Lytechinus pictus: one gene and its partners. Each later gene encodes a partner of the first gene's protein in a complex. Links are inferred from orthologs where the notes say so. Each region holds a gene or a part of one and is shown in the gene's direction. Other genes may lie near its edges.

Evidence for each region. The genes of interacting proteins can lie anywhere in the genome.
Region 2: RANBP2-like and GRIP domain-containing protein 8 (region 1) and nucleoporin NUP188-like share a complex: the UniProt entries of both Homo sapiens proteins name them as parts of the nuclear pore complex. The link is inferred for Lytechinus pictus from reciprocal best matches to the Homo sapiens genes RANBP2 and NUP188.
Region 3: RANBP2-like and GRIP domain-containing protein 8 (region 1) and nuclear pore complex protein Nup107-like share a complex: the UniProt entries of both Homo sapiens proteins name them as parts of the nuclear pore complex. The link is inferred for Lytechinus pictus from reciprocal best matches to the Homo sapiens genes RANBP2 and NUP107.
Region 4: RANBP2-like and GRIP domain-containing protein 8 (region 1) and centrin-3 share a complex: the UniProt entries of both Homo sapiens proteins name them as parts of the nuclear pore complex. The link is inferred for Lytechinus pictus from reciprocal best matches to the Homo sapiens genes RANBP2 and CETN3.

Annotation. Positions count from the first base shown.
Region 1 is NC_087260.1:25,315,394-25,322,393, forward strand, and holds the start of RANBP2-like and GRIP domain-containing protein 8, read left to right. Parts: upstream 1-3,994; 5' UTR 3,995-4,116; coding exon 4,117-4,197; intron 4,198-7,000. UniProt on the Homo sapiens protein: E3 SUMO-protein ligase which facilitates SUMO1 and SUMO2 conjugation by UBE2I. Involved in transport factor (Ran-GTP, karyopherin)-mediated protein import via the F-G repeat-containing domain which acts as a docking site for substrates.
Region 2 is NC_087259.1:27,653,701-27,661,652, reverse strand, and holds the start of nucleoporin NUP188-like, read left to right. Parts: upstream 1-4,928; 5' UTR 4,929-5,006; coding exon 5,007-5,023; intron 5,024-7,260; coding exon 7,261-7,315; intron 7,316-7,819; coding exon 7,820-7,893; intron 7,894-7,952. UniProt on the Homo sapiens protein: Component of the nuclear pore complex (NPC), a complex required for the trafficking across the nuclear envelope. Required for proper protein transport into the nucleus.
Region 3 is NC_087256.1:7,090,034-7,097,291, forward strand, and holds the start of nuclear pore complex protein Nup107-like, read left to right. Parts: upstream 1-4,234; 5' UTR 4,235-4,254; coding exon 4,255-4,377; intron 4,378-4,397; exon of another isoform or gene 4,398-4,410; coding exon of another isoform or gene 4,411-4,440; intron 4,441-4,590; exon of another isoform or gene 4,591-4,729; intron 4,730-7,258. UniProt on the Homo sapiens protein: Plays a role in the nuclear pore complex (NPC) assembly and/or maintenance. Required for the assembly of peripheral proteins into the NPC. May anchor NUP62 to the NPC. Involved in nephrogenesis.
Region 4 is NC_087247.1:39,281,661-39,289,470, forward strand, and holds the start of centrin-3, read left to right. Parts: upstream 1-4,786; 5' UTR 4,787-4,863; coding exon 4,864-4,880; intron 4,881-7,810. UniProt on the Homo sapiens protein: Plays a fundamental role in microtubule-organizing center structure and function. As a component of the TREX-2 complex, involved in the export of mRNAs to the cytoplasm through the nuclear pores.

The DNA of each region.
Region 1 (7,000 bases):
GTATCTTTGATTGGCCATGGGTGCATGGGGTGAAAAATTTAGGGGGCCCGAATTTCTGTCTAAATGTTAGTGACATCCCCTCTCCCAAAAAAATAATAATAAATAGATAAACAAAAAAATCTCCTCTCACGAGGAGCATTTTATCCGTACAAGATTTTCAGACAAATAAGAAAAGTCTTTCACAACCATGCAAAATGTCGCAGTTTATGTGCAACTTTCATACTAATCTCTGATCGAATATGTTTTATTTTCTTTCCAGCCATGTTATAATTAGACTCCCTTTTTGGATATTTTGACGAGCACCCTCATTCAATACCCCCCCCCCCCTCCCGCGTATGTTATACAAAAAAAGTTTATTGATATAAAATCCTGACATTGAAGGATCATCATCAAAAACAAAGAAACATAAGAAAAAAATTAATACAACATAAGCATAACATAGTAACAAAGTATTCATAGCAAAACAAAAAACAACAACAAAGAAAAAAAAGAAACAAAAAATACCAATCTTCGATGAAATGTTAAATGCGAGATACATATCAATGCATAAATATACACACACATACATAATATACCTAAACATTAATACACCCATATACAATAAGCATAGTATCATCTTTTTTCTTTCAAGCATCCTTAGTTTCTCCACTTATATGACTTATTCCTTTAACACATATTTTGCTAATATCCATGTCAGTGGCGGACCCTGACCCGGAGGAGACAAAGCATTGGAGGGGCACAGCATTGTTCACAAACAATACAGTGCCCCTCCAATACTTTGTCTCCTCCGGGTCAGGGTCCGCCACTGATCCATGTCATTGCTACCTAATATCAATTGGAATTTGTTTTGTTAGTTATTTTCATAAAATCCGGCAGTACCTCCTTTCATAGGCGGCGGAAGTGGGGGGACGTGTACCCCCCCCCCTAAATTTGAGGTGGGGGCGGTCCCCCCCCCCCTCCCTAAATTTTTCGTTGATGATTTTTTTTTTTTTTTTTTTTGCTTGTCAAAATTTTTTGTCGGTCCCCCCTAAAATTTTGGTTGATATATAACTTTTTTTTTTTTGCTTGTCAAAAATTTTTGGTGGTCCCCCCTAAATTGTTTGGCTTCCGCCGCCAATGCCTCCTTTAGCTTGTTTAACTTGGTATTGTTGTATCCAGTAGTGGTTTGATGGGTGCCTATTTTAGCCTATTATAAAAATAAAATATAAGCCTAGTTGAGTAGGTTTTTCTCTCTCTTTATTCCGGGGGGGGGGGGGCATGGGTGATGAGCTGGGTCATTGAGTAGTAGTTGGTACTATAAGTATAATGTAAAGATATTTTTTTAAACAAGTGCACACCAAGTTACCAACAATGCATATAGCATTTCTATTTATTTGAAAGCAGGATAGAAGAGCATTGTACATTAAATGCCTTGCTCACGGGCATAGGTGCCGCGGCCGGGGATCGAACCCCGGACTTTCTATGTATAACCAGGAGCCTGAGACCACTCGGCCACGGCACCATGACGTGAAAATATGAAGAAAGGATAAGTTCCCGAACCTCACCCCCTCGATCTTCCATGGCCCTCTCTGGAACTGAGCGAACGGTGCCGGGAGTGCTTCGTACGTGTTATAGGGAGCAGTGACCCCTGGAAATTTGTTAGGCATGCAGCTATGTAATCAAAATCACCTCTATTTTGTAATGATTTTTTTTCTTTTTTGCTTGTCAAACTTTTCCTGGATCACTAGACCTGCTGAGCTCACCTTCATTTTGTAGCGAAATTTCTCGTGATCGACCATGCAAAATGGCATGGCCCTTGGAAGCGGGGGTGCTGGGGATGCCGCTAAAACATAACTTCCTCAGGGGTGCTGCGTGTATTATTTTCCATAGGCTTGGCCCCAAAGTGTTCTGGAAGCTGTGTAAAAATTGAGAAATGTCACCTAAATGACTTTCATTTTTTATTGAAACCTTTTTTTTTCTTCTTTAATTGCTTTTGAAATTTCTCGGGACCAATTTGACCTCTCTTTTGTGGTGAATTCCTTTTCTGTTCTTCTTTTTTTCCCTGCTTCTCTAATCTCGGGACCAATTTGCTCTCCATTATGTATTCAAAACCTTTTTTTTTTTGCTTATAAAATGATTTACACACCAGCACCCCAGTAAAAAAAAATTAAAAATCATTCCAAATGGCCTTCATTTTATAATGAGAACCCCTTTTGGAACTAGTCAAAGCTTATCCTGCACCCCCTGTTTAAAAAAAAAAAAATCGTTTTTAGGGCCATAGGCGGCGGAAGCGGGGGGGGGGGCGGGAGGGACATGTCCCCCCTAAAATTTTAGTTGATAACCTTTTTTTTTTTTTTTTTTTTGTTTGTCAAATTTTGTTGTTGGTCCCCCCCCCTAAAATTTTGGTTGATAACCTTCTTTTTTGTTTGCTTGTCAAAAAATGTGCTGGTCCCCCCTAATTTTTGGGGCTTCCGCCGCCATTGTCTAGGGCCCTGCCCTCTCCACAGAGGTGTGCCACTCGATCCCCTCCAGTGGCGTAGCTACGGGGGGCCTGGGGGGGCACGTGCCCCCCCCCCTGAGATTTGGTGTGCCCCCCAGGTGCCCCCCCTGAAAAAATTGGCAGAGCAAAAAAAAGGGGGAGAAAGAAGAAAAGAAAAAAGGAAAAGAAGAAGAAAGACAGAAGAAAAAAAGAAAAGGAAAATAAAAAGGAGGAAGACGAGTGAATGAAATAATGTGAAGGGAAGACTTGCAAAAAAAAAAAAAAATCTTTCATGTTACTATATAAAACTTTTGCTTACGCTTCGCGCCAGAATTGCCTGTTCGATGAGATTCATATCTTGCTCAATAGGCTGATATGGAGCAAGTTTTGAAGTCAATATACATGTACAAAATATATTTTAGCTCGGACATCGAGCTTTCATCAATTTTTTTTCATGAACAAATTTAAGTGCTCTAGCTGTAAAATGTCCCTGTTTTAGTCTACATATCAGCATTTTTTAGCTCACGCTGCGTGGTCAAATTGTTTGATTTGCCAAGTTCCTATTGTCTACGTGTATTCCATAATGTTCCATTAAACAAAATGTATTCAGACTGCCCAGATTCTAGGTCTAAATCTAAATCATGTGCGATAGCCTGCATGTTCTTTATATTAAATGTACTTAAATTATCCAGTTTCACATCAGAATATCAATAATTGTATGCTCACGCTTCACGATCGCATTAAATAATGATACCCAATTAACTACATCCTATTTATGATTTACAAAATATGAATAGAGTGTCCCGCTTTTAGGTCTAAAATCTAATTTTTCTTCCTCTCGCGCTTCGTGCTCGCATCAATTGTTTAGTTACATACCTATCCCATTTATTAATACAAAAAGTGCTTAGAATGACCACTTTTTATGTCGGAATGTCAAAAAAATTTGCTCGCGCTTCGCGCTCGCATTATTGAAATATATACCGTCTTCGTGGGTAACTGTAAGCAGTCCTTAACAGGTCCCTTTTCGATAATGCTAGAACAGTTAATAAAAATTTCTGCTCGCGCTTGGCGTTCGATCGCAGTAACCATCTAGTTACATACGAATCTTGTTCACGGATCACACATAACATTGCCCAGAATCATTTTCAGGACGAAATACATGAAAGTAACACCAAAAAAAATCGCTCGCGCTTCGCGCTTGCACTTTTTATAAGGCTTATGAGATTATTTCATGTTTATGTTCTTTTATAAAAATAAAACTAAGTGACTGATCGGGGGAAATATAGGTGAAGATAATTTCGGGCCCCGTCCCCTATTGGCCAAAGTCGGATCCGCCCTTGTGACACATACACACACAACGGAAAAAATGGTGCCCCCCTGAAAAAGCAAGGACCCCCCAGTGCCCCCCCCCCCCTGGGAAAAATCCTAGCTACGCCACTGATCCCCTCCCCTGGGCCTTTCATCTCACGGTGAATTATGAAGTTTCGGCAGCTACTCGCAGAATTAACCGTCTGATTTGAATTAATTCTTAAAGATACCATAACATTTAAGATTGAAGCGCACCGGTTTGAAAAGGTCACATCCGCCGTTTGGTTTCTTTTCAAATGTGAAATTTTACAGCGATTATATCGTTTTATTGTCGCATCTAATCAACAGATATGTCTCGAACATATCGCAGCAAACATGAGGCTGACGAATTTGCCGAATCTGTAAAGAAAAGAGCAAAAAATTCACAAGAGGTAAGAGGGTATTCGCGTTATTTCATCATAACGTGATTTTGTATTGTAATTGAAAATGGTAGTCCCATTCATGTATTTTCATGTTTGTGTGCAAGATGCCAGTTACATCTGAGTCTGAGAAAGATCCACCCACGGCACGGGTACATTACCGCCGCCGTGCACAGGATAACCACTGGCACGGCACTTGCAATAAGTTTATTAATTTTTTTCTAAAAATTTGAAATAGATAGGGCCTACCTATTTAAAATAAGATAAGCTTTGAAGTTTGGATATGAAACCAAACGATATGAAGCCAATTTCATTTCCTCTCTGACTCTGTCTTTCTGGTACTAGGCACTTCAGTCGGGCGGGCGACCACGCGGACACAGCGCTAGACGTAGATTTTTGCATTGCAGTGAATGGCGAGCGCCTATCTAACACACACAGTTCGCTCCGCTCGGCACTTTGGCCGAGCGCTGGAGTTGCATTCGGCATTGCTCGAAAAGACAGAGTCAGTTTCTTCCTTTATTCCGCTGATTTTGATTGGTCAAAAATTCCCGCGGTTGCTTCGTACATCTTCGGTAAACATCGGAAATATACAAGACGGAGTCTAACTTACCTTCATGCGAGGGAAGGACCTAATATTCAGGTATTTATTTTTCTTTGCTTGAAATCACCTTGTAATCATCGGATCCCTTGTAAACTCGGTCAGTAATAAAATTGTATATTTGAGAACATTTTGTGAAATTCTAATCAAATTGAGCTTCAGTTTTGAGTGTCATGAGGTGTTTGTGAATCTGACTCGGCCGATCGAGCAGGGTTGTTTTGAGCGTATACGAACAGCTGTGAGTGACGTCATCCCCACTGCGTTGGGCCTGAGATTAGTCTTGGTATTCAGACACAGTATGTTTCAGCCGTTGTATATTTTTTTAAATTACGATTTGAGCTCTGTTAATTATGAAAATCAAATTGTTATTTTGAAAATAATTTTGTAGAATTCGTGTGAAATAAGTATTAAGAGCAAAACTGCAAGTAAACTTCAAGAATTTTGTTTGATATGTGATTTTTTGTTGGAATGCGTCTGAATGTCTAGAATATGGTATTGTTAATGAAAGTCGTATTTTTGAATGGCACAGAAAGCTCCTTGCATGAATTTAATTTAGAAATAGGTTTACATACATGAGATGTGTTTCATGAATTTGATATCTGATTTATGGACCTTTGTTATGGTGTTAATTATTAATTTGAAGATATTATGAAAAAGTAAGAGAAGACAATAATGAGGCAATTAACAGTGATGATGAGACATTAATAATATGAGACAATAAACATTGAGACAATTATAATAATTATTATGATTATAATAATAACAATTATAATTATAATGATAATAATTATAATTGTAATAATTATTGAGACATCAATTCTAGTATTTATTGACAATAATAATTATTACAGTAATCATTATTATAATAAAATAATTGTAATAACAATTATAATGATGTACTTTGAATTGTAATAATTACTGAGACAATAATATTAATGAGATATCAATAATAATCATTATAATAATAATCATTATAATTAAAATAAATATAATTGTAGAAACAATTATAATTATAGTAATTATAATTATAGGCCTTATAATTAATGAGACAATAATAACTATTATTACAATAATACTAATTATTATAAAATAATTATGATAACAATTATAATGAAAGTAATTATAATTGTAATAATTACTGAGACAGTAATATTGAAAGGTCATCAATAATTATTATTATAAAAATTATTATGATTATAAAAATAATCATAATTATAATTAAAGGCCTTATAATTATTGAGACAAATAACTATTATTACAATAATTATAAAATAATTATAATGATAATAATTATAATGAAAGTAATTGTACTTGTAATAATTACTGAGACAGTAATATTGATAAGTCATCAATAATTATTATTATAAAAATTATTATAATTATAATTATAATCATAAAAATAATAATTATAATTATAGGCCTTATAATTATTGAGACTAATAATTATTTCAATAATAATTATTATTATGAAATAATTAAACAATAATTACTATGATAGTAATTATAATTGTAATAATTATTTAGAAAATAATATTAATGAAACAAAAATAATTATAATAATAATTATTATAATTATAATACTAATTGGGACAATAATGAAACGATGATGAGACAATAATAATATCAACAATTTTATTGAGACCATAATAACAAGACAATAATGAGATAATAGACAATTGAAATCAATCTGTTTTTATTTTTTTCTAGAAATCCTAAGATTATTATTTTAATTCTCTTTCTTTGATTACAAATTATATTCATTGAAAACTTAATTTCTAATGTTCAAGCAAAGAAAATCAATATCAAGTCATGTTTACCCTGTGCACAAACCTACCACAGGGCAATTACCCCCGAAATAGGGTTAGGTTAGGTGTAGATTTTTGGATAGGGGTAAAGTGTAGTTGTCCGGGGGGGGGGGGTAATTGTCCAGGGTGGGTGGGGGTGGGGGGAGGGAAATTGTCCGAGGGTGGGGGGGGTGGGGGGTTATCGTCCAGGGGTAGTTGCCCTTGAACCAAAGAAATCATATGCCAATATGTCAAATCAATCTGAGTACTTTAAGATTTAAATAAAAAGCTTGTACAATTCCCCATAAGCTATGTATTATAAATGTGCCATGCCCAAAACAAAGAGAATAATAAGATTTCGCAATCTTCTTTTGTCCACAAAAAGGCCTGTTTTTTCATCACAAAGATGACAATAACTCGACTTCTAGATATC
Region 2 (7,952 bases), on another chromosome or scaffold:
TCCGCCGATAGTTGCTACGCCGACATCTGCTCCGATTATACGACAATTGCTCCGCGACAATTGCTCCGCCGATAGTTGCTCCGCCGACATCTGCTCCGATTATACGACATTTGCTCCGCCGATAATTGCTCCGCCGACATCTGCTCCGCCGAAAATTGCTCCGCGACAATTTTTCCGCCGATATCTGCTCCGTCGACATCTGCTCCGTCAATATTTGCTCCGCCGACATCTGCTCCGCCGAAAATGGCTCCGCTGTAAACTGCTCCGATAATGCTTGCATGATATATTACATGGCATACACAGGGGCCGCGGAACGGTTTTTAAAGTGGGGGGCTGCATGAGTCTAAAGTGGGGGGCTGACCATGCTAAAAATCGCAATCATATGGTCATTTTTACGTTTTTGTACACGGTTTTGGAAAAAAGTGGGGGGCTGAAGCCCCACGGTTCCGCGGCTCCTGAATTCTGATACATGCATATATAGGAAGAAATAGAAAAAAGGGGTAAGCACAAAGGAGGGATAGATATTATTAATTCTTATTCATGGTGGGGGGGAGCATTTGTGTAAGTTTTATCACGTGCCTGGTGATTAGAATGAAAAAATAAAATACGCGTTTTCATGTAATTATTATAATAGTACAAAAAAACTTAGATATACCCCATTCTTAGCGTCAAAATCGCTCTGGCGAAATATGCTCCGAAGTGGAGATATTTGCTCCAGGTGAAATTCAACGGTACCCCACCTTTTTTGTCGAAAACCTGTACTCTAGTCACGCAAAATGTTTACTGTCGGCAAATTTTGTTCCTCACAAACATGACCAAGACATTCAGTAATTAAAAATTAATATTCACGAAAATACCAACTTGTGAAACGCTACATGTCGTGTCACCTTCTCGGCACACCCCTCCAATCTGGTTTCCATATCCTCTCGTATACACAGTGCTCTGGTCTCCACATCCACATTTAATTTCATTTATTTAATTTTCAACAAAATATAAATCAAATAAATACAATCATAACAAGTCAACATCATAAAAAAATATAACAAGGTCATAAAATCAACTTGAAAAAGACGTTTTATAAGAAAATTACATACAAAGTAATCATGTGTAAAGGATTTGTGATTTATAATTTGTGAAAATGGAGGATCCCACTTAAAAGCAAAGCTTGTATATTGTGGGCTCCTCAAAATATGACATGCGAGAAATAAATTTATATATACAAATCAAAATATAAACCATGATTACCAACAGGAGACATCATTAAAAGAAAATATTTAATAACCAAAATATACGAAAATTACGCAAAAAACTCAGGAATGAGAAACAGTTACTGTTTCTCATCCACTTTCTTTCTATACTGTATAGAAAGAAAGTGGATGAATGAGAGAGAAAGAGAGAGGAAGGGGTGGGGGGGGGGGGTGGGGAATGAATGTGAGAACTGCATAATGAACTACAGGGAGAGGAGTGTAGACAAACAGAAGCAACGTAGCGCATGAGTGAAAAGGAACGGTGATTAAAGATAAAAATATGTGATGATGTATTTTTTAGACGTGATTATAGGATTTCAGTAAGAAAGATTTTAACTTTCTTTTAAAAGTGTACAGAGAGGGGGAATTCTTTAAGTCGTTATGAAGGGAAATTCCAAAATTTTGGGCCTTCATAAATGAAAGTATTTTTGACTTTGAACGTCCTGAAAAGCGGTAAATGGAATTCATCTGATTGATTAGTTGGGTATTTATGAATGCTCTCATTTTTATGAAACATGTCATAAAAACAATAGGTAAATCATTGCTATTATATTGATACATAAACTGACCTAGTTGAAATGAATATAAATCCTTAATTTTAAAAAATCTTGTTTTCGAAAGAAAAATAAAGAATTAGTATGAGAGCGTATTGGAGCCTTGCAAATAATCCGGATAACCTTCTTTTGCAGTATAAAAATATTTTCTATCAACGTTTGATGGGTATTACCCCAAATCAAGAGACCGTAATTCAGGTATGGCAAAATCAATGACGAATAAAGCATAAATAATGAGGATTGTGGTAAAAGAAATTTCATTTTATTGATAACATCATGTCATATACACCGTAGGTTTTTAGATAATGATAATATATAATAGTGAGTTGCTTTTTTGTTTTATGTTGATCATGATTGTTTTCTTCACTGATAGAAAAAGGATACTTAATTTTTTTTTAAATTAAAAAATAAAATCCATATGGTCCGCCAATAGTCGAATTATATTCATTCTGATGTTATAATGTAAGTAACAATTTGTTGTTGATGGGGGATATATATAATTTTACATGTAGTTTCAAAATAAAACAAATCAATCAAACAAGATTTTCTTCTATAAATGATATACCTTCATCTGTATATGGCCGCCTAAGAAGAAAATGAACAAGAAAGAAAATGAAACGGAAAGGGTGAAATGGTATATTATTTTCTGAATATTAAGTCAAACTCTTTTAAAAAAAAATTCGATTTCTGTATTAAAAATGTCAAAAAATATGCTCGCTCGCTTCGCTCGCTCGCATCTTTTTAGAACTATTGTTCCATCAGCCATTTTTGGCTCATTATGCCACTGTGAGCGTCAGACCAGTAGGCCTATAAATAATCCCAGCTTGCATATCGCGCTATTTAGTAAGATACGGAACATGATTGTGTGTGTGTTTTTTTATATTCCGTTTTCATAACCTATGAAAAAAAGTTTCACTTAGCTCCTCCATAATTTAATTGGCAAGATTCATATCCTTTTGATTAATTTCTGGAACGGATATCAAAATATTTTGAAATATTAAAAAAAATGAAAGGAAGGAGAATAAAATATGATACAAATAATACAACTACTACTAATAACAATGATAATAATAATAATGATTAAGAACAATAATAATAATAATAACAGTCATCTGGTTATCTATAATTCGCTTAAGACATGGTATGTATCTAAGCGCTTACATATTTATCACCCCGGTCATCATTTTAATCAGCTATTCCCGCACACAACGTATGCACATCCTCCACTCCCTGGGGAGTAATCCAGCCTGTCACCGATTAGGCGCACATAATGCAGGACAAGCTACAATGACTTTCACATCTTACAATTTAGCACATGGGTTGTGAATGGCAAAGTGTGGATTAACGACTTGCCAAAGGATGCTACACCAAGGTGGGATTCGAAAACACGACCGTTTAAGTACAAGCCAAGAGCCCGAACCGCTACACCACATCACGACGGTTCCACTTTAAACTTTAGTCTTTAGTTAGGACTAACCCTTAAAAAAAAAATCCGCTTTTAGCGGCTGATCGGCGAAAATGTGGATGAAAATGTTTTTTCCACCCGGCCCCCCAACCCTAGTGGCGAAAGCTTGGTCCACTCCATAAATATGTCTCAAGTTCACGATCACAAAATGTCCCTTTTCTGAAATATATCAAAAATATTCAATTAGCGCATTGCGCTCTCACTATGAGATATCTCCCCCTCGAGATATGCTTCATTGTTTACAATTTTCCTGGTCAATAACAGCTCGCGCTTTGTGCTCGCATTATAAATTTAGTTTAATGCGTATCGGGTTTCATGAATTTGTAACTATATTATTACTGGTATGTATATTATTGTCTTTTAAAATAACATTATTTGTTTAGACGTAGTGAGAGAGATACATATATTCATTTATTAAAACATATTTATATTGTCGCTATTGCACAGAATAGAACAAAAATACAACCGAAGTCTAGTTTATAGTAACTCACCTGTAGCGTAATGAGCCAACAACAACAATTGGAGGGGGCCAGACAAGGATTACATTTATTTTCCTTTCCTTTATTTTTTTTTTCATTGGTAGGGAGAATGGGGGGGGGGGGGGATCCGTGACCCCTAGCACACCCCTCCCCCATCTGTACGCCAGTGATGATCATACTTTCGTTTGGAACAAATTGAAAGAAAAAAGGTGCAAGGGTAGATAAGGCCCAAGATGTAAATAAAAATTATTGATAAAAATATTAATAATTATAATGCTGCTAAATATACAATAAATCAAGCGGTCATCAATGAAAATAAACAGCGTGAAAGAACAAAACGAGAAAGAGAGAGAGCCCGTGCGAATGTATTGGTGTATAAGTTGCTGGAAAGCAGAAGAGATATTGTGTCCAGCATCCCCCCCCCCAATTTCTCTCCCCGCTCAAGACCGGAGTGAAACCAATGATAATAATATATGAACAAAAATCCAGATTCACAATTTCAATGGGGAGTGTGTCATTCCCCTTCTCCGTTACAATTTGTCAAGTGGCAGCGGCAGGGAGAACGATTTGTTTTGGTTTTTTTTAAGCAGAAAGCTGTGATGATAAGGGGAGAATAAAATAAATAAAACATTAACGAATAACAAGAAAAAAAACCAACAAAACAATTTGTATCAGGATGAATTTCTTATCATTTCAAACATAGACCAACTTGGAGAAATAAGATGTTCATGCAATTGTCGTATAATCGGAGCAGATGTCGGCGGAGCAAATATCGGCGGAGCAATTGTCGGCGGAGCAATTATCGCGGAGCAATTGTCGTATAATCGGAGCAGAAGTCGGCGGAGCAATTATCGGCGGAGCAATTGTCGGCGGAGCAATTTTCGGCGGAGCAGATGTCGACGGAGCAAATGTCGGCGGAGCAAATATCGGTGGAGCAAATATCGGCGGAGCAGATGTCGGCGGAGCAGATATCGGCGGAGCAAGTGTCGACGGAGCAACTGTCGGCGGAGCAACTGTCCGGAGCAATTGTCGGCGGAGCAGTTGTCGTATTTTGCGTAGCAATTGTCGGCGGAGCAGATGTCGGCGGAGCAATTGTCGGGTCACCCCTGAGCCACCATATAAATACAAGACTGGCAAAAAATGAAGCTGGCCCTCTAGGTTTGCGTGTTGAAAATGTACGTGCGATCGATCGAAGAAGTGGCTTTACCTTGCTTTGGTGATGAATTGAATTGAATGAAATTGATGACTAAAAAGTGAAATCATGGCTGTGTTCACGACGTAAGTTAAATTCATTACTTTTCATTTATTCTGTACGAATTCTTCTACAAAATTGTAGATTTCTTTTTGATATATTTTTCATGCTGAATCTTATTTTTATGCACGGAATTCTAATGCCTTTAATGGTGATGCTTCTCATCCTCCATTCCCTGATGATTCATTGTCCCACATATTGATATTCATGTCTTCTTTTGTGTGATAATCTACTCTTTCAGCATGTTCAGAATTCAGTTTCAGTTTTGCTTGCTAGATCTAACTTAGATCTACATCTGAATTTCAAGGAGGGGAGGGGGAGGTCTCTTGAAGGAGAAGGATGAGAAGATTGGGGAGGAGCATAGCCATAGACAGCTGGCAGCTGTCTGTTTTGAGGATTTTTTTTTACATTTTTTATTTTTTTAAATTTCTCCTCGTACTCGTAGTCGTACACAGAGTGACAGACGGCTCGCTGTCATGCCGCCACCATTAGGGGGTTAACAATACAAAATCCCCCCATCTTCTTCTTTGGGTATACTGCCCAACGCCCCACAGTAGGAGCCAACCGGGCAGGAAGTGCGCAGATGTTGATGGCACGGAGAAAGAAGATGCTCACCTCTCGATATCTGATTGGGGATTGCAGGTGGACCACTACACCAGGGTTTCCCCCTACTCTTATTCGAATAGTGCAGTGGGTTCTTAACGTGCAAAGATGGTGACTCTCCTCTACACGGGGCCTCCATTTAACGTCCTATCCGAGGGACAGAGTGTTTTCCCTGTAACATAGCCTGCATCTATGGAACAGGGGAGAGACGTTTACACACAACGTACTGGCTTCAGTAATCCGCCCGGGGTGGACTTGAACCCACGATCTTTGGTTCGACAGGCAGACACTTCACCGACTGAGCCAACTTCGCTCATCGACGGGGCTCATCGATTTTCGTCTTTATTTCATAAAAACATATAAAAAGAACTGTACCAAAATAACGATTATTATTCTGTTTTGGCCTGAAATATAAACTTAAAATAAACTTAAAAGGGGGAAAATCAGTGACTCACATGTACTTCGGCTGTCGCGCAACTTCACTTCCCTGTTTTATCCGAACTTAATACATAAACATATGGCCATTGAGTCTTGTAAAGATCGAGCTAGAACTTCGGTCTGTATTTGGGGAGTGGAGCCAACAGAGTTCAGCGGAACAGCCAACATAACAGAGACCGAAGCTTTTGGTCTAGGAGGAGCATTATATCAAGAGAAGGAGGATAAATGAGGACTTGATCAGCAGACGAGGAAAAATAGAAGAAGAATCACTCGATCAGAAACAACACGGTTAATTTGGTGATTCGTGAAAATATGATCACTCCTACTGGAGACACAAGTCCAATATTATTGAAGACTCTCCCATTCAGGTCCGGTTTGGGAGACCAATTTTTATTTGTTTACAAACTACGGTTGCGACAGGGGCTTGGGCCTTTTCTAAGCAAATTCACATCATGAAAAATTAATCCACTATATTTACAATGTCTACTTGAAAAATTCACTGTCTTCTTTTATCTTCATACTCTTGTTATCATCCATCATCATAAGTGCTGGAATAATTTGCCTCATATGATAAGACAGTCTCCATCAATAGCGATTTTCAGAAAGGCTTAAAAAACCCATCTCTTTCGTAGTTTGCAGTTTTATAGTTTTAGAGTTTTAATTATTTTCATTGTCAGCGCCTTTGGCTTATGAGAAAAGTGCCATATATTGAGTAATATGTATTATCATTATTATTATTTTATTTTTACACATAACCAAGAATGAGAGAATATTGCAAAAGAGCTATATGCTTGTAATTTCAGATTGAGCGATATAGATTTTCCCTGTACAAAAACGCCATAAGGAAAACAACCCTGACCACGATTTTAATGTGCGAGATCAAGCAAAACGCTGTATCCCTCTTTCTGTGTGCAAAGTCAATGTAATGCAGATACAACTATTTTGCTGACCATGCATTGCATATTGAGTGCACGCAGCTGTTGTTTGCTTTGGTACAGTACACGTTTCAAATGGGATTTGTGAATTTTATGGAATCTTTGAATGGCATTGCCTTGAAAATCCCCTCATATCTCAAAAAACTAAAATAAATTGCTGCCTAGGAATTTACTTATGTATAGACTAGGACTTGTACTTTAATTTTTGGCAAAAATGTCAAAATTTATTTTTGATCAAAATTGACTGATATCCTTGCTAATGGTTTCCTTTTGCTTTCTATTTTTAGTTCTTGTCAGGAATTGCTTCTGATAATAAGTGGACATTCAGCTATCCGAGCAGAGGTGAGCTTTCTTAAATACTTTTGGGACAAGAGGTACTAATGTCAATAAAGAGCACTTTTGGTGGAAAAAGTGTCTGGAAAAGCAGTCATAAATGGAATATTATAAGAGAGGATAACAGTTTACACATAAGTTTAGCTATTTTGGTGTGTAATCTGGATTATAGCGGCATTTATCAGTCAGATATTATTCTGTCCTAAAGATAAGACTTTGTATCAAATTGTTTAGAGTGATCAAATGCTAATCTAAGCAGAGCTTAACCATCTATATACTATGTTTTTGGCCCACACTTTATGTGGTAAGCACTTAATGATGCAGAGTGACTTTTATTTATTTACCATTCTGTTTAATATTTAGATTCCCCTCAGACTTAGAATGGTAATTGCTAACATCATAGCTTTGAATACATGTTGGAGATATCAACATCAGCCATCATGTAAGTGTGGGCACTTTTGCAATTTAAACAATTGTTGCCTTAAATCTGTACTTTCAACTGTTGTCTTTCAGGAATTGATAAAAGAGGAGCTTGTTAATCACAAGAAGAAGTTTATTGAAGGAGTGCTATTTTACAAGAAACACAAGTAAGTGTCACTTGTTTTCTTTTATTTAGAAAAATATCATCAACTGACAAATGTACTAC
Region 3 (7,258 bases), on another chromosome or scaffold:
AGCCTGATTTTTTTTTTAATTTAGACCTAAAGTAGTAAAGAGGATTGTTTGTAAGAATTCACTAAGACCATACATATTTCATTTTAATAATGCGAACGTGAAGCGCAAGCTTAACATTTTGGACATTCAGGCCAGAAAGGGGGGAATTTAAAGAACTGTTTTTTAAGAATTCATGAAGAGCATATCTCGCCAATCCATGCACTAATGCAAACATGCATAAGCACGACTAGAAATGTTTTATATTCAGACCTCAAAAGGGGGCGAGGCATGAGAAAGAAGTATATATGTCACTACATAAAAAAAAATAACTTAATAGGCCTATTTGACTTGAAACGTGATGTTTTAACAAAAGGATCAATAAACAGACAATGCGAGCAATGCGAGAACAAATTATGTTTTGTGACGTTATTATAGGCGTAGCTGGGCTCTATAATACAATAACATAATGATCCAATATACAGGGGCGGATCCAGCCTTCGCCAATAGGGGGGCCCGGAATTTTTTTTTCAGCCATATTTTCCCCGATCGGCCGCTCGAAGATGATTTTTGCCGGGATTTTTGGTTTCTTTGAAGGGGTAGTCCTAATAGTCACTTCTTAGCTTTATTCTTATGAATAAACATAAATATATAATACCATAATCCTTATTCACATAATGCGAGCGCAAAGCGCGAGCTAAATTTTTTTGGAAATCTTATGTATTTTTTCTAAAATTTTGAACATATTTGATTCTGGGCAATGTATGTTATCATGAAAAAGATGTGTATGCAAATTAATAATTACTACGAACGTGAAGCGCAAGCAAAAACGAACTGATGGAAAAAGTACTGTTAAAGACTGCTTGCAGTTAGCCATGAAGACATTACATATTTTAAAAATCAAATAATGCGAGCGTGAAGCGCGAGCTGAAATTTTTTGACAGTTTTACCTAAGGAATGGAAATTCTAAGCACTTTTTGTTAAAATAGAATAGGTATATAACTAAACAATTGATACGAGCGCGAATGGCAAGCTGAAAAATTCGAGATTTAGACCTACTGAACGAGACACTCTATTCAGGTGTTGTAAATCGTGAAAAGGATGAGTAAGTGGGGATCTTCCTTACATTAATAATGCGAGCGCAAAGCGCCAGCAGAACATTTTTATATACGTTTTGAACTGATCGAAAATGTACCTGTTAAGGACTGCTTGCACTTAGTCATGAAGACATTACATATTTCAACATTCAAATAATGCGAGCGCGAAGCGCGAGCTGAAAAATTTTGACATTTCTACGTAAAGAATGTAAAATTTTAATCAATTTTTGTAATCGTGAACAAGATAGGTATATAACGAAACAATTGATGCGAGCGCGAAGCGCGAGCGGACAAAATCGAGATTTAGACCTAAAAACGGGACACTCTATTCATGTTTTGTAAATCATGAAAAGAATGAGTAATAGGGGGCCTTCCTACATTATAATAATGCGAGCACAAAGCGTGAGCAGAAAGTTTTTTATATTGTGATCTGAAACTGGATAATGATTTAAAGGTCAAGTCCACCCCAGAAAAATTTTGATTCGAATCAATAGAGAAAAATCTAACAAGCATAATGCTGATTTCATCAAAATCGGATGTAAAATAAGAAAGTTGTGACATTGAAAGTTTCGCGTATTTTTCTCAAAACAGTTATATGCACAACTCAGTGATATGCAAATGAGAGAGTATATGATGTCCATCACTCACTATTTCTTTTGCTATTTATTGCTTGAATTATACAATATTTGAAATTTTACAGAATTGACAATAATGTAGAACTTGACTGAACCACATAATGTTAAACAATGTTAATTCAACATGTTCAGGAAGGAATAAAACTCGATTTCACATGACAAGGGGGAGAAAATCAAAATATTTCATATAGTAGAATACAAAAGAAATAGTGAGTGGCGACGTCATCAGTCCCCTCATTTGCATACCAACCAGGATTGCATATAACTGTTTTGTGAAACTTATTAAGCGAAACTTTAAAAGGCCATAACTTTCTTATTTTACCTCCGATTTTGACGAAATTTTCAATGTTATGTTTGTTGGATTTTTCTCTTTTTATTCCAATCCACTTTTTGTTGGGGTGGACTTTTCCTTTAAATAGAGAACAAGTTGACTATCTGAATAAACATGCGCGCGCATGTTTCATATTTAGACCTAGAATCTAGGCATTCTAAATACATTTTTTATTATGAAAATCAAAGCGAGCGCGAAGCGCGAGTTTAAACTATTTGATATTCCGATCTGAAAAAAAGAGTCAATTTCAGCTCTATATTTAAAGCACTTTGTAGGAAAATTGTGAGGTGGATATGGATCGCACTTAATAAAGAGCTGATATTTTTAATAATTATTACTTTGAGTTTTAACATAGGACCGGGACATCCTTAGGATATGCAAATGAAAATGATGACTATCTTCCTATTCCTCTTGTTAAGTGCGAGATGAAACAAAGGGGACAATTTAATTATTAAATGAATATCTCATTCATTAATGCCTAATGAGGGCGCGAAATCTGATGATATTATGGCCTGAAAACTGGACATTTCAAGAACTTTTGTAATTATAAATATAGGATGCATCAAGTTAATATATTTTAACCATTAATGCGAGCGCAAATCGCGAACCAAAATTTTTGATGAACTGTCATGAAAAGGGGATTTTAAGTTGTTTGTTGTATAATCAATATTGAGAAATATATAACTCGCCAATCAAAATCTAGCTGATATGTTTTGACAATACACCTGAAAAGTGATATTTTGACAACTTTATGGAATACACGAAAATAATAGGTACCTGCTAAATCAAAATTTGCGAGCGCGCAGCACGATCAGAAAATGTTAATATTCAGACTATAAAACTGACATTTTTATAAAGCACTTTTTAGAAACAATTTGTAAATCACACAAAATAATGAAAGTTCGATTTCCGAGGTGAAGTATGTTTTGTATATTCACTTCCAAACTTGCGAGCGCGAAGTGCGAGCGAAAATTTTATACAGTGACATATGAAAGATTCTTTTTATTTTCCAAGTCTTCTCCTCATCATATTTTATTCACTCATCTTCCTCCTCTTCTTTTTTCTCCTCTCTTTTCCCCCCTTTTCTCCCTTTTTTCGTTCTTTCCCTTTTTTTTGCTCCGCGCCAATAGGGGGGGGGGGGGCGGGCCCCTCGGCCCCCCCTGGATCCGCCTATGATCTACAAATTAATTTCTTCTTCCCCCGCTACGTTTCTCTTTAATTCTTTCTCCCCTTTTCTCCTTTTCCCTTTTTGCCAGCCGTCCCCCGTATACGCCTTCTATTGTAAGGTGAGTAAAAACAAAAAAAAAACGGTAGTTATGTGCGAACAGCTTTTGTCTAGAGTCTAGACAAAAGCTGTTCGCACATGACTACCGTTTTTTTTTTTTTTGAAATAGGTCTACCGTCTAGACTCTAGACTAGACGGTAGACCTATTTTCAAAAAATAATGATATGTCACGGCTCCAGTGCAAAATAAATTGAAGTGGTCAATTCGTACTTTATATTATGTACAGTTATTTTTATGTAATAATACTATACTTCTCAGAGAAGGTAGTGATGGTTTATAAGACTTCACAAATAAAAAGTTAAACTGAACATTAAACTTAATAACTTTTATAATTTTTGATGGATTTCCCACAAAACCTCCACCTAACGTTAGATCTTTTTAAAATTATTTTACAACGAACGCTGAGGTAACTTCCGTGGAGCGTTTCATGAAAGGACTTGTCTTATCCGACAAGTATACCCAGTTGTTGTGTGTCCGGACAGGTTGTGTGTCCGGACGATCAGTTTTAGAAAGTCATTTGGAAAAATTTACAAGCAAAGTTTCATAAAATGTTTAGTACGAAATGTTAGGTAATATTATAGAGAACAAAACAGAAGATGATTACAACTATTGAATTCGTATTTTTAGTGTAATCCAAAGACAAAAAAGAAGGCTTCAAAAATATTAAGTGTCCGGACACCCCACCCCCCCATCCTTTTATCCGACAGTTACTATGGTAACAGTGCCTCTCATCCTATCATTATGAAGGAAAGTTGTCAGACCTGACAACTTGTCGGATGAAAATATTGATGAAACGCTCCCCAGATCATAGAGTTAAATAGAAGCTTCCGATCCCTTTTTAATTCAGCATGCACGGCCGGAGCGTGGCGAGCGCACGACGCGTGGTACCGGTACGTTCAGTTCAAACGAGTTGGACGAATTTCTAGTAAAATGGCAACACTCGCGGCGGGAAAGAAAAATGTGCGAAAAAAAGAATCAGCTGTTCGTCCTCCAGACCGTATTTCCGGTTCTTTTGTTGAGCCAGGTGATACCACAATGGCAGATATTTGGAAGGTTCGTTTCATCAATGTGGAACATTTGATTTACATGAATTTCTTGATATCTATTAAGTTTTGGGTAGGCCTACCCGACAGTCATTGCGTTGCCCCACCTACTCATTTTTATGTGTGTTGACTGTTGTTACTTGCGAATTGCGGCCAGTGGCCTAACTTAGTAACTAACGACGTTAGATTCTAACGACAACGTTACGTAAGTTAGGCCCTATGGCCTATTGCCCACTCGCACTAGTACGACTACGAGGCTAGTATGTATGCTCTACTAATCTCGTATACCGAACTGCGTTTGGCCCTGGATTAATTAAGTAGGCCTAGACGGTCGACGGCAAGTCATCGCTTCATTGCAGAAAGTATGCATGATTGACGTTTATCTTGTCGGTAAATCCTATAAAAAAGAGACAGAAAAAGAAACTATAGACTATAGTCTAGTCTCTAGACGACTAGAGGGGTCTATCGTAAACTACGTCTACATTTAAATATTGATTATTGAATATAGTATAGTGCCCAAAAATGTTGGACACTTCTTAAGCATAATTGGACCAAAACAAAAAGGCAATCATTGATGACGTTTATCAGTAGAGGTGCACAGCCAAGCCCAAGCAATATTGGAGACTATCTCCAATGTGGGAGAGTATCTCCAATATCAGAGACTTTTGTAAAGAATTTTGGTATCCAATTTTAGAGACAGTCTCCAGTTTTGGAGACCAATTTCCTTTGTTTACATTTGCTGCAAAAGGATTACCTTGGCGGCAAATAAAAATGTGATAAGCAGATTCCTCATGAGAAATTACCCCTTTTCACCGTCTACTTAAAAAATTCACCGTCTACTTTTGTCTTGATAAGGATTTTTGTTGTCAATCACACACAAAACAATTGGGCTTCTGACCTCAGTGAGACAAAATTTTGGGTGGAAAAAATCATGCTTTTGTTGGTGTTGTTTCTTTTGTCCTTTTGCAAAGCAAGTCTCCAATGGCAATGTGGGAGATTGTCTCCCCTATTGGAGAGAGTCTCCCATATTGGCTGTGCGCCTCTACTGTTTATTTCCGTAGAGGGCGTATTATCCGGCCTCCCCTTATCCAGATCTATTTTTGGACGCACACTTGCCAAGATTTTTTTTTTCAATTCAATCTAGTACGTTAGCTTAGGAAATGAGATTTCAATCTAAACTCAATCCTATAAAGTATAGTAGGCCTATACACAGACTCACTTGGATTACATATATTTTCCAATATAGTCTACCTACATACCGGTACAACAACATTAAGTCACTATTTTTCATGAAAATCACAGAAAGAACTTGGGCAGGATAATTTTATCACGTTCTCTTTTTTTGTTTTTCCCGGGAAAAACAACGCATGTCTCGCTAGCTAACACTAGGCCTTGATACGGACAGCGCCATCTATCATGTTTGAGCCTACAGTCATAACAATGGCTGACATTGCGAAGCTGCGATAGCCGCGATGATCTAATTGTAAAACTTTCATTGAGTCATTTTCTTTATTTCGAGGTATGCTCGATGTATACCTCACTCATTTTAGCAGGTAAACTATCGAACAATTTTGGCCATCGATCGATTTCATTTCCGTAAAAATACCGCCTATAATTTGCACTGACACTGCAGTGAATACTGTCTGTATGCCCACTACAATAGATAACATGTAGCTACAGCCATTAATGTTGGGGAGGTAGCAGCTGCGTGTATTTAATATTTATTGGGTCTCCCAGATCTGGATAAATCCCTTATCTGGATTGGTGCTGGTCCCAACGTGTCCGGATAAGAGAGGTCGGACTGTATTAAATTGTTTTAGAATAAAAAAAAATTATGGTAAATGGAAATTAGTTTCAAAATATCGGACGCGTAGAGTTGTGCACCCTGATCAATTTCGGGGCTTTAAATCGCGCTCTAGACCCCAAAATAATTGCTTAGTTGTTAAGTCCAATATCGAAACAAAGTGTAGCAAGAGAACATGGTTATTGGAAATCACTGTCATCCGACCATTCCAAGGTAACAAAGTTGGACATCCTGTATGGATTTTCTGATTTCTTTTTCTTCTCTTTGCCTTTCTTTCCCACAGGAATGAATGCTCCAGGGTGCCGTAACTTCCAAATGATTCCTTGGAAGTTGTCTTTGTCTTCTTGCTTTTCTTCGCTTTCTGTCTATTTCTCTGTGAGTAGTAGCAGGAAGGTGATAACTGAGATGATGCCAGGCGCTTGGTGGTAGTTGGGTTTGGCGACGGTGACGATGCTTGAGTGCGGGAAATACGATGATCCGGTTACTCCCCCGCTCCACCATCCCGAAGATCCATATTTTCAATCCTCTCGGATCGCAGCGGTGATACTTGGTATGCCATCCAAAATGGCTCTCGTCAATCTCCACCTCTCCTCGGAGTACTTCTGTCCCTCACAAATTTCCGGCATTGGTCACGGAGGAAGTTTGCCCAATCCACCGCCGATTTGTTGTAGTCCATTCCCGACTCTACTGCACATCTGTGAAGGAGGTTCCAAGCTTCCATTCCCTCAGAAAGATGAATATTTCCTTGACATCAAAATGGACTCCTTTGAAGAATGAATGCTTATGAACAGAAAAGTTCCGCTCGTGTTGCCATGTCACACTTCCCCAACACCGCCATATCTTTCCTTCCTTTTAGCACAGTTGACAAGTTTACAAGGTCTTGTGCAAATATCACAGTAGATTTGACTGACTTGCAATCAATCTCTTATCTTGAAATCACTTGTAAAGAAAATTGTTGCTCTGGGAGAGTAAAAGATGGAATGAAAAGGGATTCCTTAAATGCTGAATATCCAGTAGAGCTGGATCCTTTTTCCTCATAGACCAAGCCATCGTTGCCTTTTCTTCAGTTGTGACTGTGAGTGAAATT
Region 4 (7,810 bases), on another chromosome or scaffold:
TTGGACTTATATTACAATTTTTGAAACAACCGGGTCTGGAAAAAAGACTTTGGACGTATATTATAATTTTGAAACAACCGGGTCTGGAAAAAGACTTTGGACTTATATTATAATTTTTGAAACAACCGGGTCTGAAAAAAAAAGACTTTGGACTTATGTTACAATTTTTGAAACAACCGGGTCTGGAAAAAAGACTTTGGACGTATATTATAATTTTGAAACAACCGGGTCTGGAAAAAGACTTTGGACTTGTACTATAATGTTTAATTAACTGGGTCTGGAAAAAAGACTTTGCACTTTTGTGCTATATGAACGCATTACTGTAGGATTTTAGTTCAGAACGGATTCGCCAAAAAATCCCTTCAAATTTATTACATTTGTGGGTAAAGTCATTATTACATTTGTGGGCGATCAAAAATTATTACATTTGTGGGTAAAGTGCATTATTACATTTGTGGGTGAAATTATTACATTTGTGGGTAAAGTGTTATTACATTTGTGGGCGTTATTACATTTGTGGGTAAAGTGTTATGTTATTACATTTGTGGGCGTTATTACATTTGTGGGCGTTATTACATTTGTGGGTGCAACACCCCCCCCCCCCCCCCCCCCCCAGTCTGCATGAATATTGTCTGTATAAATCTGCGCGTCCCGTCTGGAAAATCAAGAAAAGGGGCGAGAGGGAAAAAAATCAAGGAAGGGAAAAGGGAAATAAAATATGAAAACGAAGAGAAAGAAGGAAAGAAAGCAGGGAAGAAAGGGGCAAAGAGAAAGAGAAAAACAAAAGGAAAATGAAATGAAAAACGAAAGGAAGGAGATAGAAAAGGGATATGGTGGGCGAGGTTTTGAGGAATAAGTGAATGTGTCGGGGCCTGAGATGTTGTCCGTTTGACAAAACGATATGAACGAGTTTTCGCTATCACGACGGGGGCGGATTCTACAACATAGAAATCTACTCCCGTCAAATCACAATGAACAGCTGAGAGGTTTATGTCTAAAATTGGTAAACCGGGGCAGAGTGGTCGTTGTACTGAGATTCTGAGCTGATGAACTATTGCAAATATTATGTCGCTCGTCCAGAGTTACAGGACGAATCTTCTCTTTTGATTCATCGATTTTCGACATAGGCTGCTTTGTCCTGAAGGGTTTTTGACAACAGATTTCCTATTTTGTAGCATGCGTCCCCGTCATTTTGCGAAAACTCCCTGTCTGTTACGCAAGCGCAAGCCTGGCGCCTGACAGAAAATTATAAACTGTCGAGTCACGACGGGGTTGTTTTAAGTTCTAACTATAGGCCCTACTTTATGTACCGTTTTCTAATTAGGGCTTATACTTGGTCTTTGAGTTCCACCATCTTTGTAGGTAATTGTCAAATTGCACACTATTTGTTTTTTTCCGCAATGAGAATGTGAGGATCTCTATGTATTAGCCTATCTCAGGATTTAGGTCTAAATAAAAAGTAAATAAATAAAAAAAAACTCAGCTCGCGGTTCTGTATCGACAGTGATGAATGTATAGGTTTTAGGTCTAAATCGCCCCCCAAAAACAAAAGAAGAAGAAAAGGTCAGCTCTCGCTTCACGCTCGCATGATTTATGTAATAAGATCCATTCACAATTTCCCTACATTTTAACAATGCTTAACAGGTCAATACATCGACAATTTCAGCTCGCGCTTCGAACTCGCATTGTTTAATAGGGTACAGACCTGCTCTTCATCAAAAACATGTTTAGAATGTCTAGTGGTCAGGTTTGAATTCACCGTAATTTCAGCTCTTGTTTCGCGCTCAAATCAATCATATTGGTTAAAAAAATTAACCTCATCACTGCAAAAAGTCCTTGGGTGTCCTTATTAGGTTTCTTTAATGCAAGAATGTAAGAAATTTAAGCTCGCGCTTCGCGCTCGCCTTGTTTTATTTAATACCCATGGGCAGATCCAGAGACCCGGCAAAAAAAGGGGATAAAAGTGAAAGTTTTGAAGTCAATATACAAAAACAAATTTCAGCTCGGACACCGAGCTTTCATTATTTTGTTTGATTCACAAATTATTTTTAAGTGCTCTGTAAAATGTCCGTTTTTTGGTGTGAATATCAACATTTTCAGCTTGCGCTGTGCGCTCGTGTTATTTGATTTGCCAAGTAACTACTCTCTTCGTGTATTCCACAAAGTCCTAAAAATATCAATTTTCAGGTGTTTGATTGTCAAAACGTATAGGCCTATCGAGCTTGGGCTGTGCGCTCGCATTTTGATTGGTGAGTTATGTATACTTCTATATTAATTCTATAACAAACCACTTAAAATTCACTTTTTATGACAGTTTATCAAAAATTTCGGCTCACGGTTTGCGCTCGCATTAATAATGTTGTTAATAAAAATATTGTGTTAACCTATGCCGGCATCCTATTCAAATTACAAAAGTACCTAAAAATAATGTCCAGTTTTAAGGCTTCAATATCAACAAATTTCACTCTCTCGTTGATTAATAAACATAATAACATGTTCATGAATTCCTAATTACTAAACTGTTCCTTATTCAGAATAGAAAATAGACAAGTTTCATCCTGCGCTTACTCATCAATGTCTCATCAATGTCATATGATAACAAAATTTCTCGAAAGCTTAGGCCCCTTTTGACTTTCTAATAAAAAAATGTCCTTAGAATGTCCCGGACCTATATAGGTCAAAATGATAATAATAAATATCAGCTCGCGCTTCGCACTCGCATCATTTATTAAGTGCGTTCACATCCACTTTGCAATTTTCCTACACAGAGCTTGAAATAGTGCTTAAATTGACCATTTTGATCAGAATATCAAATATTTTCATTGTTGATTTTGTTGATTTTCAGAATTAAAAAAAAAGTATTCAGAATGCCCAGATTCTGTCCAACTCTAAAACACGCGCACGCATGTTTATTGAGACACGCAGCTTAGTCTAGTTTTTAGGTCGAAAAATTCAAATTTTGAGCTTCCGCATCTTGCTCGTATTGTTTGTTTATGTACCTATCCTGGGGGCCGTTTCATAAAGCTGTTCGTAAGTTAGGAGCGACTTTAAGAACGACTGGTGAACCTTTCTTACGCGCTAAACCATTGTCAATGGTGTATAGCATTTACCAAAAGAAAGGATCACCAGTCGTTCTTAAAGTCGCTCTTATCTTACGAACGGTCGCTTTATGAAACACCTGCACCTGCTCATTGATACTATTCAAAGTACTCTAGAATGTCTAGTTTTGAGTTCGAAATATGAAAGTTTTTTTTTCAACTCGCTTTGTGCTTCATCACTTTGAGCACGATATCCTTCCTGATCATGATTTGAAAATCCCGCTTTTAGGTCTAAATCTAAAGAAACAAAACAAATATATTATTGTTTGTTAAGATAATTCCGGGCATATGCTCGTCATCAAAAACTTGCTTAGAATGTCTCTTCTAGAAGAGACAGAAGAGACATTCTAAGCAAGCAAGAGACAGTCATCCCGGGGGGGGGGGGAGTCAAATATATTTCTGTACACACGCGTGACCAAGAAATTTCCAAACACTCCACGAGTTTTTCTATGTGTGCAAAATAACCCCCTTAACAAGTTTTTCGCGGGCTTTATTTACACATTTTGTCCCCTAAACAAGATGTCGCCGAAATATGACCTAGGGGAAAAGTTTGGGAAAAAACCTACTCTTAACACGTTTGGCTAGTCTTGATAAAAAGCTTTGGGGGGAAAAACATACCCTATATACGTTTGACCCCGCGATTGACCATTGACCAGTCTTTCAAAACCACACTTTGTTTTTGATACCCTTAACCAGTGGCGTAACAGGCGGGGGGCAGGGGGGGGGGGGGGCAAGTTGCCCCCCCCCTGGCGGATTTCACCGGGAAAATAAAAGAAAAACGGGAAAAATAAAAAAAAAAGAGGGAGAAAGAAAGGGAAAGGGGAAGGAAAGGGGAAAAGGAAAGGAGGAAAAGGAAAGGGAAAAGTGAAAAGAAAACGAAGAAAAAACTTTTTTTAAATGGAAAAGGAAGGAAAGCGGAAAAATGTACGAAAGAAGAACATCTGAGAAAGAGCAAATCATTCCGAAATAGGCCTATGTAATGCAATAGCAGAGTGGGAAATAAATTAAAAGATGACAAAATGGCAAACAATTGCGGGAAACGAAGGTAGAATGTAATTAGTCAAAAGCTAATGGACTGCATACAACATTGTGCTTTAAGCTTGCTAAATGCGGGGCTAAATGTTATGCAAATAAAAGATAAATTCTGCCTGATACGCAATATATGGCCTTCTCAAAATAGTCGCCTCATTACACCATAACGCCTGTTCATACCATGATATGACCGGGAAATTTTTGGCCCTTGCCCCCCCTGCAGGCCACCGACCCCTGTTACGCCGCTGCCCTTAACGAGTCCACGCGCGTACCGCGTCCAAAACTGAAAAACACCCCTTTAAACGCGTTTTTTTTTGGGTCACGCGTGTTTACAGCAATAAATTTGACTGCCCCCCCCCCCCGGGACAGTCACTCACTTTTTCCATGCTTTTTTCTAACTCGGGCCTATGAGCTAGTAGTAGTACATGTAAATGTACTACTGTATGGTAGTACATGTAAAAAAGTAAATGGGTACCCGGTAGGAAGGAATTCCTTGAATGCTCGATGCGCCCGATCAGGGTAGCCGTGCTAAAGCCGGGGTAATAGTATGCAGCGCTTAGAAACATTTGTATTAAGCGCTATATAAATGTTGCATATTATTATTATTATTAGTACATGGTAAGTCCCTGTTTACCTTTGCCTAGCTCCTCAGCTGTGATATAATATGCGCCCTCTATTGTTAATATTTTGTGCATGAAGTTGTTTTGAAAATTGAATTTAGAAAATAGGAAATATGAGTTTATCATTGAGGTAAGTGATAACATAATGATCAGCAGCATTGTAATTGCTATATTGTGCCGTATTTTGTTTTAAATCAAAGTTTGGTTGCTTAACTGTAACTTGACTAACGTTTGCGGAATGGCAAAATGCTCTCGCGCTTCACTCTGCTTGTTGAATGTTGCCTGTGTGTTGTCCCACTAATTCATATCTATGTTTGCTCTACTCTAACTGTAGACAGCTGGCAGCCGTCTGTTTCGAGGAGTTTTTTAACTTTTTTTTTTTTTTTAATTTCTCCTCGTACACAGACGGCTCGCTAGCGTGCAGCCACCATTAGGGGACTTGCAATGCAAAATCCCCCCGTCGGGGCTCTTCAATTTTTGTCTTTAATGAATAAAAATTTTGAAAATTAACGCGACCAAAATGCAAATTAATATTCCCTCTAAACAGAGAAAAATCAAGTTAAAAGGAACAAAAACAGTGACTTACCTCGGCTGTCGCGCAAATTCACTTCCCCGTTTTATCCGATCTTAAGTACATAAACATATGGCCATTGAGTCCCCTGTACAGATCGCGCTAGAACTTCGGTCTCTGTATTTGGTGAGTGAAGCCAACGGAGTTCAGCTGAACAACCAATATAACAGAGACCGAAGCTTTTGGTCTACTCTAACTGTTACAGTGTTAGTATAACGACAACGTTGGAATTTATGCCAGACATACAGTTAACAACATAATTATTCAAACCACTACTGAAATTTCAATGTTTCGTGTTTTTTCTGGTAAACGACAGGTGGAGGCAGAATATTTTGGCCGAAGTTGGATACCTTTAGTTTTACTTGAAAGGTAAAATTCTAAATGGGTTTTGTAATACTAATAGTATAGTCACGTATTGTATTACCGGACACTATTGTGATTCCGGACGCGCATATAAATGCGTTCGAAAACAATTTCGTACCGTAAGACTTCCGCAATTCATTTTCACAGATCAATACATAGAACAAGATTGCAAAAACAAGGCGAAAAAAAATCAAATTTCTACCTTATTTATCTCTAAAATGACAGAAAATGCTTAAAATATCATATAACATAGTTTTGCATTAACAATTGAATGAATTGATATATTTTCTTACGGAAATATGGGCCTGATTTGCCGAATTTCAATCTCGTCGGCTCCTTCGATCGAATGATGAGGTGAGGTGTATTGTGGGTGATCGTCGACAGCTAGTTCTCAAGGTACCGTGCGCGAGGTTTACCGTGAGTAGAGCCGTCGACGATCGGCTGCGCATCGATAGAACTTGATGAGCGTCACGATACGAACGAACACTGGAAAGTGCCATGAAACATGCAGCTAACCAAAAAATAAAAAATAAATTAAGTTATCAAACACGAATTTATTACCAACATCTGCTCAGATTCGATATAAAAAAAGCAAACAAAAAGTTAGAATTTATTCATGATATGATATAAGAAGAAAGAAATCACAGAAATTTATTCTCACATCATTATAATCAAGGATATCTTTACCCGTCCGGAGCGCGTCCGGAATCATGATGTAATTTGTCGCGCACGAAAATAATTGTTTTTCGTGGAGGGGTATGCGGCAAGTGCGATGCAAAGAAAATGGTTGGTAAATATAAAATAATTTTATCATATTAATAATTTTCATAATATTTGGAATAGCAAGTGCGAATTTTTCTTGATTGTATTTCCTCTAGTTGTCATTTTTAAAGCACTGAAATAAAGGTGTCCGGCAATAGGATACACTACCATACTACTACTCACTCCTAGTACCAATGAGGTCCAACATTACATGTATGGACCTCATAGGCGACATCAGTAGTATTTTTGGTTAGAAATCTCTGAGAACAGGATATTTATATATTATATCACAAGTACAAGCTATATTCCTTTCTCTTATTTAAATTATAATTTTATAGTGTAAATGCATCGTTAGCAACAACAAAAAAATGAAAGAAATGAAGGGGAACTTACATTTTCACGGCTTTTTCCTGATTTTCTGGGCAGCTGCTCTTCTCTTCTGACTCGCGATCGAAGCTGATATGAAGATCACGTGATTCGCGTTCTCGTCAGCTGATCGGTTGGTTATTCTTTTCGTCAGACGTTAATAATATATATTTTATAATGCTAGCATTCATCGCTAATTTAGGTGAAAGAGATTGAAGTTAAACAGCGCCAGGTCGGAATCATAATTATTTTGGAAGAGTGTATTTATACACTCGATCTCATACCTGACGTAGACGGCGCTATTCAACAAATGCACAATCTTCAATATAAAAAATAAAACAGAAAGAACGCCTTGAACACAGGCCAAAATGCCTAACGATTTCTCCGCGGCATTAACAACTATCGTAAAGGGCGCTCCATTTATCAATAAAGATGGATGCTAAGCTGTCTATGGCGACAAAATTTGCCGCAAATATTTACGAAGAATTGTGAGAAATGGTCTGAAAATGCAACAAAAGAACCGGTGAGTACCGATTAAACATTATCAATTTATTTAATAGAACATATTTAATGACTACAATGTAACAATTTCTAGATAATATTGCTTAGTTCTAAGCTAGGGCGGCCCAAATGCGCGTGAGTGGAGTCCCAGTTTATTAGCACGGGTAAGTATTGGGGTGTCGCCTAGAGTGCTACTACTAGGCCTAGTATAATAATACTAATATTAATAAATTAGGCTTAGCCAATATAGGCTACTATACTAACATGACTAATACTATTGACTTTTGTATACTGCTTTTCTGACGGAGCGTAGACAGAGAGTTGTTATCAATGGCCAGATGTCAAAATGGAGTAGAGTAAAGAGTGGAATACCGCAGGGAAGTGTCCTCGCCCTCGGGCCAACAGTATTTTTGATTTTTATCAATGACCTGCCAGAGATAGTTACAAGTCTAGTCCGAATATATGCAGATGATACCAAAATCTTTAGAGAAATTGTA